2 linked regions of the Daphnia pulex genome follow. The protein of the gene in region 1 purifies or fractionates together with the protein of each later gene. This does not show direct contact. Links are inferred from orthologs where the notes say so. Each region holds a gene or a part of one and is shown on either strand. Other genes may lie near its edges. The genes, in order: gamma-tubulin complex component 2-like and gamma-tubulin complex component 3-like.

Region 1 (4,531 bases):
TGCACACGTTCAGAAGTTCCATGTGAGTTGATATAACCTGTTAATTTGAACTATCTATTTAGAAATTGTCTAATGAACGGAAATAAAAATTTGTGCATACTTGATCGACGTTGTCCACTTTTCGGATTTTCTCAACAAAAATTTGCCATGATGGCTCAAGAACTTCGACCGTGATGTAGTACAATAAATTTTGAATGAAATGGAGCATGCGATGACGCAAAGCAAATGCGTTGTTGTACCACTGGCTAGTCGGAAACGAATAATTGCGAACAATTTTGTGCGAAATCCAAACTCTAAAAATGTCATTAAATCAGTAGTTTCAACAAAATTAATTGCGCTGAAGGAAATCCTTACCGGCCCAAGAGATTTTCAACATATTTGGTCAAGAAAAGATGTCGGAAAATCATCTGGTAGCACGCCATAACTTTAGTCGTAAACACAAGTGAAACAGGCCATCGAACACGGTACATGAAAGAGAAAGCTTCCAATCCCGTCAACCGTACATGGTCGATTGAGTGGTTCCCATCCCCTAAATATTTTTAAAAAATGTATCTATTTTATTGAAATGTGGGAAGGTATCGAACTAGGATTATATACCGCGATTGTCGCGTTCTCCGTGAGTTTCGATCGAAAGAATCTTAACCATCTGAGTAGTTAGATCATAGGAAAGTAATTCAAGTCCCAGATCATCTTTGAAGGGATCAGCGTTGGCGGTCGAAGTGCGAAGTGCCAATTCAAGCAAAGATTCTAATCGGCTGGGCATTACATCATCAACGTTTTTCACCAATTCCGCTCCGCATAGCGAGAGGAAATGCAAGATAAAATCTCCCGCATTCAGGAAAAAGTAATGCTTCACGGACCTGCAAGACATAGTAACCATTAAGGCATTAAATGCATATTCTAATGCGTAAAAAACTAAAACAGTCAAGAGTAATCGGCTAAAATTGTCACATGCAATTCATTATGAGGTTAAACTGATATTACTTGAGCCGACCTAAAAGGTCGTAATCTTGCATGAGGACGTGCAACAACGTCTCAGACGCATAACTGTAAGCCTTTTCAATGGCTTCTTTGTAGCCTGATCCGTCAAGTGTATACACTAAGTCATCAATCCTTGGTGGTTTCACCTTCATTCCTATCAAAATTAAGGCATAAAGATGATTTGATATTGAATAAATTTAAGATTAGGACACACCACATTGCTTGATCACATTAAGGTATTTTCCGGTACGAAGAATCTGGTCAGTAAGTGGGAGAAGGAATGAGGGTACTCGATCACGTCGTAGAGTGTAACGCTTCTCCCAGTAGTCGTCACTGTAAGCCGTTGGGGAGAGCTTGTCCATGGATACTACTTGATGATCTTCAACCATGAACTCCAAATATGGATCTTCTACTGAACCTTGATAAATCCACTTTTGCAAAATCTCCCAATATGGCTGGGCTGCAGAACGGGTAAGTGAGAGCAAAAGTTTCTGTTGCTTCTCATTTCCCATCGCTTCCATGGTCTGTTGGTGAAGAACGGATAATACTTGGCCGCCTTGAGCTTTAGCTCTCATTAATGACAGCGTGACATGATGCAGTTGATGCAATATCGTGACATTGGGCTGAAGAAGATACCTTAAAAGATATAAAAAAAAGATTGATTTAAAGATACCTTAGATATAAAACCTTTAGATTACCAAGCTTTCTGCAAACTCAATTCGTTCTTAAGCAATAAACTTTCCAATTGACAGACAAAGATTCGATATTCATGAACCAAGTTGCCAATAGCCGCTGCCAAGGCGTCATTTACCATTCCGAAATCGAATCCAGAACGACTCTCGTAGAAGCGCTCAATTATAGAATAGGAAGCTAAAATTGGGAAGAATCTTCGAATCATTTCTTTTAGTGAATCGTCGACACCTGTAAAAAAAAAAAATACAAAATACAAAATTTATTTTTATTCTGACAATTTTCAATAAATAATTATTGAATAAAAATAATTACTATCATCAATTTCGAATTTTCTTTCGTCGGCGTTGGCAGTTAAGGGTAGTGCACGTATGTAATCGCCATCAAACCCACTGAGAACATAAAGGAGCTCTTCTAAAAGTATTCTTTCTTGATCTCCTACAGGCACATTTCCAAGAGGAGCAACTTGAAGTAGATGAGAATCTGATAGCCCAGCAACAGGAAAGTCCCAAGAAAGAAAGGGTCTAGTGTGAAACCACTTTGGATTCTTTTGTATAATTTCACTAGATGTGACCCTCTTCTCTGTTAGTTCAGTAACTTTATGACCTAATGAACCCTCACTTGCAGTCTGTAACCTGCTCTTCAATTCCTTCAATTTTACACCTCCAACCACAATTGGAGTGGATGTTGATGGGCCTAGAAAAAAACTTCTACTGTAATTAAATTCATGAACAAACATATAGAAAAAATTTAAATACCAGATCCTTGATTGCTATCTGTGCTAGTGCAATAGGTTTTGACAGATTCTCTTGGCAAACCAGCCCTGACTGAGCGGGTCATTGTCTTAGACTCTTTCATCTTTGAAAGTATCAGGACAAAAGAATCCAATTCAGCGTAACTTGAAGTTTCAATATTAATATGACCATTAGCAGGATTGTAAACTTTGTGAAAAATGGTGTAAATCCTACTTTTTGTCCCGTAGTTCTTCATACTTGTTCACTATCTCAGATGGATTTGAGCTCAAAGCTGCTAAAGTTTGCACAGTCTCTCTAGCATTTGTTATTTGGACCTGTGATGGAGAAGTCACCAAGTTTTTCACAAATTTTTCAGGTGCAACCAAGTCAGTGAGCCTGTAGGAAGGACGAATTAAGTATTCCAGTGTAAGATCGGGCAACGGCCAATCCTAGATTATGTATTTCAAAGTAGTTAACTTACCCTAGCGAATCAATCAATTCGCTAACAGCGTGATGAATTTTGAATTCACTCATGACAACAAGAACAAGTAGTAATCTTCAACGTTACAATTTTGTTTCCTCGTCAAGTCGTCAGTCACAACATGTCAAGTCAAACCTATTCCTGTTGTGCTGTTGACATTTCATGAACTAACATTTGGCGGTAATGTCAAATTCAAAAGAAAGCAGACACCTGGCGGATGAAACTGATACAATTATCGCTGCGTTAGCAAGGCCGGCAAGGCGTTAGAAGGGCTATTATTTTATTACTTATTAAAATTAGTGATTTTTTATGAAAAAAAAATATAAAATGTTAATTCTTTGTTAAACATCAACATTTTAGGTAATTCCTGCTTCCTAAGTCATTAGTCTATTTTATTTTAATAAAAAGAGTGCGCTTATAGGTCTAATATTAATTCCTTTATTTAAAACCCTGTAGGCCTGTATAATTCAAGTAACAAAAAATATGTAAGAAATAAATTGCGCGGCTTTTATGTAAATGGCATAAATGATGCACTATACACTATTATAGTGTGCATACAATACTTCCCCACATTACAATAATGTAGAGCGATGAACGGAATAAGAGAGGTAAAATGGTATTTGCCTTCAAAACGAAAACGACAATGTAAAGAAAAGTGACAAATGGTTTATTCTTTGACACACTATAGAGACTAGACTCCTCTTGAAATTTATGTGAAAGCATAACATTGGACCAATAGGCTGAAGAGGCACTTTCTACAATGGGGACGGGGCCAATAGCGTCAGGTGTATTATCCCCTATAGAAGAAAAGTCATCAATTTTATCTTTCACCAGCGCATATATACGTTAGTCTTCTGTCATACTCTCTAACCTCAGTTTTGGTTCACTTGTAGCCTATTATTTAGTTGGGGTGGACGAGAAATGCATTTGTATGGTATTACCGTCTTCTATTAGTAGCTAGGGCTGCTAGTACTTTAATTGTTCTTATTCTTATTTCCGAATGGAATTACGTTATTATTTTCGGTTTATTATAGCCTATTACATAAAGAATTCCCCGACCTCTAACTTTTAACGTATATGATGTCTAATAAACTTGGCTTGTAAACATTAGACTAATTATAGGCTATAATTACTAGTTAGGAGCATAATATTATTGACAAAAAATAATAAAATTGGCTAAAAAATATATAAAATAAAAAAGAAATAAAAGAGAAGGAATAAAAAAACAAAAAATTAAAAAGTAAAAACAGCGAATAGTCATTACTCATAGCTCACCAGCAGGGGGGTTTCGATACGTTTGTTCCGAGAAAAAAGGTTGAAACGAATCGTCGCATTTTGCTCGAGTCTCCCTTCCTCGCCATTCCTTATCCATTTCCGTATCCATTTCATTCTTGCTTGCAGCAGGTATATACTGAAAATTTCTAATTTATTTAAAGCAAATTCGAGTTTCTTGTTGAATTTATCAGTCCTGGTCAATTGATGAGAAGCATAAGTCTATATAGGCCTACAGTATTAAAGAGTGGCTCGTCCATACGTTGCATGTTTTTTGTAGGCCGGTGCTATGTTTTCACAAAGATTGGTGAATAGGGAAATAGAACGAGTTCTACAGTCTGTGAAAAATGAATGTAATCGTAATATCTTATCA
Region 2 (4,546 bases), on another chromosome or scaffold:
AGGCAAAAGACATTCAACAGTTGAACTAGAACCCCAAATCTGCAACCTGTTGATTTTGGTTTACCTGTCGTTTTTCAACTTCGAGTATGGCGGCTGAGAAAAGTCGCTCTTGAATTTGGCTGAATTGCAACATGGCTTCATGGATGCCCCTCAAATGATCCCGTATATCCTGGAACATAATGAATTATAGATTCATTGGAATCCAATAAAATCTAACTATTTCTACCTTTGATTCTTCGTCGAGGAGCGCACGGCTGGTCACCGTCTGCAAAAAGTGTTCGTGGGCCGTCAAGAGTTGATCCATGGTTTTTGAATTGCGTAAGGCGACGCTGAGCTGCTCCCAGGCGCAAGCCACCACCTCGAACGACAGGTAATGCGACATTTCCTGGGCGAAATGAATCATTTCGGAGAGCAGCAACTGGGCTTGATGCAAGACTCCTTGAACCTCTGCAATCACACTTTTTAGTCGTTAAACTTCTTTTTATAAATCAAATCAGAATTCCAACCTAATAAGCCCCTCAGCTGCCGTCCTTCCGTTAGCTGTTGATGGCGCAATTTGGACATGATCCATTCCATGCGCTTCGAACGCCAAAGGGCGTAAAAGAGAGTCTCGTAACGAGTTTTTACTTCAGGTGTGAGAATAGTTCCTAGCGGTCCGTCTACTTTGTAGTCGAGACTAAAGACATCCCATCCGCTGTCACCTTGCGACGGTTCGCTGATGCGCACATCAAGTCGTTTCAAAACATCCGCATCGTCGTACTGGCTGTTGGTGCAGCGAATGCACTTGTCGAGAATGGACGCCAACAAACGGCTCATTCGTGTGTTGGCAGGCTTGTCCAGCTCGGGCCTTTAAAAAATAATAATTCCATGATTAGTGTTTTGACAAAAAGTAAATAAAATTGGAGTTTACTCGACAAGTTTCATCAGATGATTGACAAAATCTCCCTGGCCAAGTAACAGATACTGACGAAGGGCGCACAAGTGGAGTTTGATGTGATAGCGGTCCAGCAAGACTTGCAGCAAGTACTGAGATGCAGTACTGTAAGCTTCTTCTATGGACTCCCAATCCAAGGAAAGCAACGATTCTAAATGAAAGGAAATATTTCAATGAAAATGAAGTAGATGTCTCAGGAAATCATTTCATACCGCTACGTTCTTCAGCTGTACGACGAATCTGGTTCAATCCCGGTATGGGGCTTTTATCCAGGCAAATCTCGCGCAGGAAGCAAATACTTTTTCCGGTGGTGGCCACTTGATGGCCTTGCTCTTGAGTGAAGAAATTAGGCACCATGATTGATCGTTCATAATACTTGTCATTCCATAAACTGCCGGGATCGACAGCCAGGTTCACGCCGATGAAGAATTCGCCATAAGGATCGCGGAGTTCGCCCTCGAACGTCCAAAGCATCAACATCTCGTATAACGGACGACACACTTGGACGAGAATTTTCAACACGACAGTTTTCAAGGTGGCGTTGCCTTGTAAAACGAAAGAGTGAATAACTGAAGCCAAAGCTCCGCCTCGTTGACCATGGCACGCTTCCACCAAAGCGGCCAAAAGTTTCATCCTGGCTTTAGGTTCTTTCGTCCATACTAGCAGCCTCTGGAATGTTAAGCCTTGCGTCTCGACTCCAACGCTATCACCTGTTCTAGCAGTGTGTACTTCCATCTGCGATTGAAGAACTGCTAGCAGTCTGTAGTACTCACCTGAAACAATACGTCAACACAAATGTTTTTGTAATAGTTTAATAAAGGGCTCCATTCAAGATTTACTGACTCAATTCTTCTTGTAAAGCGGCGGCGAAAGCCCTCGCGGCTAACCCACATGTGGATTCCGTTTTTGGGGATTCACAATACTTTTGAACTTTGTAGAATAGCCAGCCCAACTCCACCAAACTGAGTACCATCTGCTTCAGAGCTTTTGGTAATTTTACCTTAATAGGAAATGGGAAAAATTAAAAATAAATGTGTAGAACAGCTGTTTGTATATAGTTACAGTTGATTTAAGGTGAAGATTTTCATGGGTTGCATCCCACTGGAACACTTGTCCTTGTATTCCCTGGAAGGCATACAGGATTTCTCTAAGTAACACTTGGTTGGAGACATCTGAATGACCTGTAAAATGAACAAAAGTGAGATTGCTAATTTCTGAACTATGTGTGTTATAAGCTAAGAGTATGTACCATAAAGTGTTGTTTGTGGTGCACTTTTCTTGCTTGATGAAAGAGAAATTAGAGGAGAATAAGGAATTTCTGTATTCTTAGGTGTCTTGACCATTGTTGTGGTCTAAAAACAAAGAAAATTTTGATTAAATGTGCAAGATCTCTTTCTTTAAACTCAGTCCTACATCAGTAGTAAATGATGCCAATGATGGTAGTGTGAAAGAATGACGAACTACAGGTTCATTAGCTGCTGAAGGAGGATTCAGAGCCAAGTAGTACATCAATTCCAAAACAGCTTTTCTGTTTTTAAGGATGGACTGAAGAAGATGTAAACAATTAATATTTAAATAAAATTTATGTTGATGGTTGTCACTTACACTAGCAGTTAGCCGGGCATAAAGTTCATCAAACTTCCTAGCATCTTGATAGCGTTCCTTAGTACCCAGAAGTTTCTTGATACTTTGGACAATGGAAAACTCTGTTTCATGGGTTTGGGATGATAAATGTTGGGACGACAGCAACTGAAGCGCGAGTTTGTATTTTGTTTCATATTCTTTACCTACGAGTAACCCAGAAAAAAAGTACTGTCAGAACTGAACACACAACAAAATCAAGCTATTTTGATAATAGCTAGCATTAAATAAAAACTGCTCTTTGAATACTAGTTTCTGAAGACTTTCCACTGCTCAAAGATCTGCAGAGTTTCTCGACGAGAGCTGGAATTGTATTTTCATCCATAATTGAATTTTGTCAAACAAACTGTTGACCTGTTGTCGTATTTTTTTTATAAACAAAATTCAAAAAAGAGTCTACTGCTTTCTTGGACTCCGTTGGTGGTTTTTAAACTCATCGTTAGATGGCGTGTTCTTTGTTTATGAATCGTCCAACAAGGACAAAAAAGAGAGTATTTCTCGAGAGACTGCGTAACAAAAATAAAGATTTGAGATCATATTTAGTGGGTCATTTGTACATAAAGTGAGAATGACGGAGGTGAAACGGTTACCAGTGTTTGTTTTCCCAAGTTCGCTCAATTTCTTCGCTGATGAGTCGTCTTCACATAAACAAATGGTCACTGTTTACAACCCATATGATTTTGTTGTAAACTTCAAAGGTGCGTTGTTAACTGATACCACTTTTAGTATTAGTCCTTGAAAATTGCACTGATAACCTAACCTTTTTTCGCATGCTTTTGATAGTACTGTGTAATGCTCCACACAAGTACCAGATTGGCGATCCTGAGGGTTCTATAAAACCTCACTGTTGTATGGATATAGTAATACGACACATTTCTATTTTGCCAACTTGCTACCATGTTACGGACAAGTTCAGGATTCAAATGAATGAACACAACAGCAGACAGTTGTTAGGGAAGAAAGATATCCCAGTTATTTTATTACCAGGAAAATCGACAGGAATCTCAGACTCAACTGCTACTAGTCTGGATAACTTCAGACAGTTCTCCACAGATGTACCGTCAGCCTCTTCTAGTGACTCAAGCTCCTCAACTATGCAAATTCAAGCTTCCTCAAATAGCCTTGGAAAATTAGGTTGTTGGAGATTTATTGAATTGTTGTTTTCCAAATGATTTTACTAAGCACATAATTTTCTAGGTTATCAAAATGCTGGACCAAATTATATTGCCATTGTGGTGGCAGTTGTTTGTATTATAGCTCTAATGTTGCCTTCAAATGAAGCTGAAGGTGGCTCGTCATCCTCTGTTTGGTCAATGTTTCACTTGTCTTCACAACAGAAACTGGTATTTGCCTATTCTCTTGGTAAGTGTATTGGAAATTTCAGAAATTGAGTCAGTAATTAATTTTGAATTTTTAATGTATTAAGGTCTGGTTACAATGGTCATATTTCGGGTGTAAGCCTTCTTCCTGTGAGAAGTTCGAAGTACGCAATGAATGCGCACCTTTCTGTTCGCCAACTTTGAGAGATATGAACGTCAATGAGATTCCTTGAAGTCGGCTTAAAGTAACCATTCAGATAATTTATGAAGTAAATTTTAAAATTGGCTGGTCTCTTTTGAAAATTTAAATGAAAATTAAAACTAGCGAAAATTAATATGGAATGTCGTGCCCCCGATTGCAGACAAAACTCCAACCACCCTGTAAAATTGAAGAAAAATTATAATGCAACATTTTTGTGAAATGGCTGTATATGTGTTGTTGTAATTATGGTTAACAAGACTTACCCCAATGACAAACTCCCAACCAGTGCCTCCAGGACAGGACGCTGTAATTCCTCTTCGGATACAAATTGAACCCCTCTCTTTCACTTTAGGTTCGTTGTTCTTCAAATCCAGCACAGCCCAAACCTAAAGAAATTGGTCATAATTGATGTTCCCTCCGATCTTGAAAATCCAAAGCTTACTTGGTCGT

What was found.
Region 2: the proteins of gamma-tubulin complex component 2-like (region 1) and gamma-tubulin complex component 3-like fractionate together in Drosophila melanogaster (co-fractionation; 3 studies listed by BioGRID). This does not show direct contact. The link is inferred for Daphnia pulex from reciprocal best matches to the Drosophila melanogaster genes Grip84 and Grip91.

The regions. Positions count from the first base shown.
Region 1 is NC_060019.1:11,565,890-11,570,420, forward strand, and holds the start of gamma-tubulin complex component 2-like, read right to left. Parts: upstream 3,086-4,531; 5' UTR 2,940-3,085; coding exon 2,887-2,939; intron 2,802-2,886; coding exon 2,640-2,801; intron 2,570-2,639; coding exon 2,430-2,569; intron 2,368-2,429; coding exon 1,987-2,367; intron 1,903-1,986; coding exon 1,680-1,902; intron 1,618-1,679; coding exon 1,196-1,617; intron 1,136-1,195; coding exon 985-1,135; intron 861-984; coding exon 598-860; intron 530-597; coding exon 355-529; intron 294-354; coding exon 101-293; intron 38-100; coding exon 1-37.
Region 2 is NC_060018.1:810,926-815,471, reverse strand, and holds the start of gamma-tubulin complex component 3-like, read right to left. Parts: upstream 2,980-4,546; 5' UTR 2,901-2,979; coding exon 2,825-2,900; intron 2,722-2,824; coding exon 2,348-2,721; intron 2,287-2,347; coding exon 2,184-2,286; intron 2,116-2,183; coding exon 1,997-2,115; intron 1,935-1,996; coding exon 1,778-1,934; intron 1,708-1,777; coding exon 1,147-1,707; intron 1,086-1,146; coding exon 911-1,085; intron 848-910; coding exon 507-847; intron 448-506; coding exon 227-447; intron 170-226; coding exon 65-169; intron 1-64. Other genes in the region: motile sperm domain-containing protein 1-like, read left to right, coding at 3,144-3,273, 3,359-3,709, 3,773-3,937, 4,002-4,033; tectonin beta-propeller repeat-containing protein-like, read right to left, coding at 4,226-4,273, 4,360-4,482, 4,539-4,546.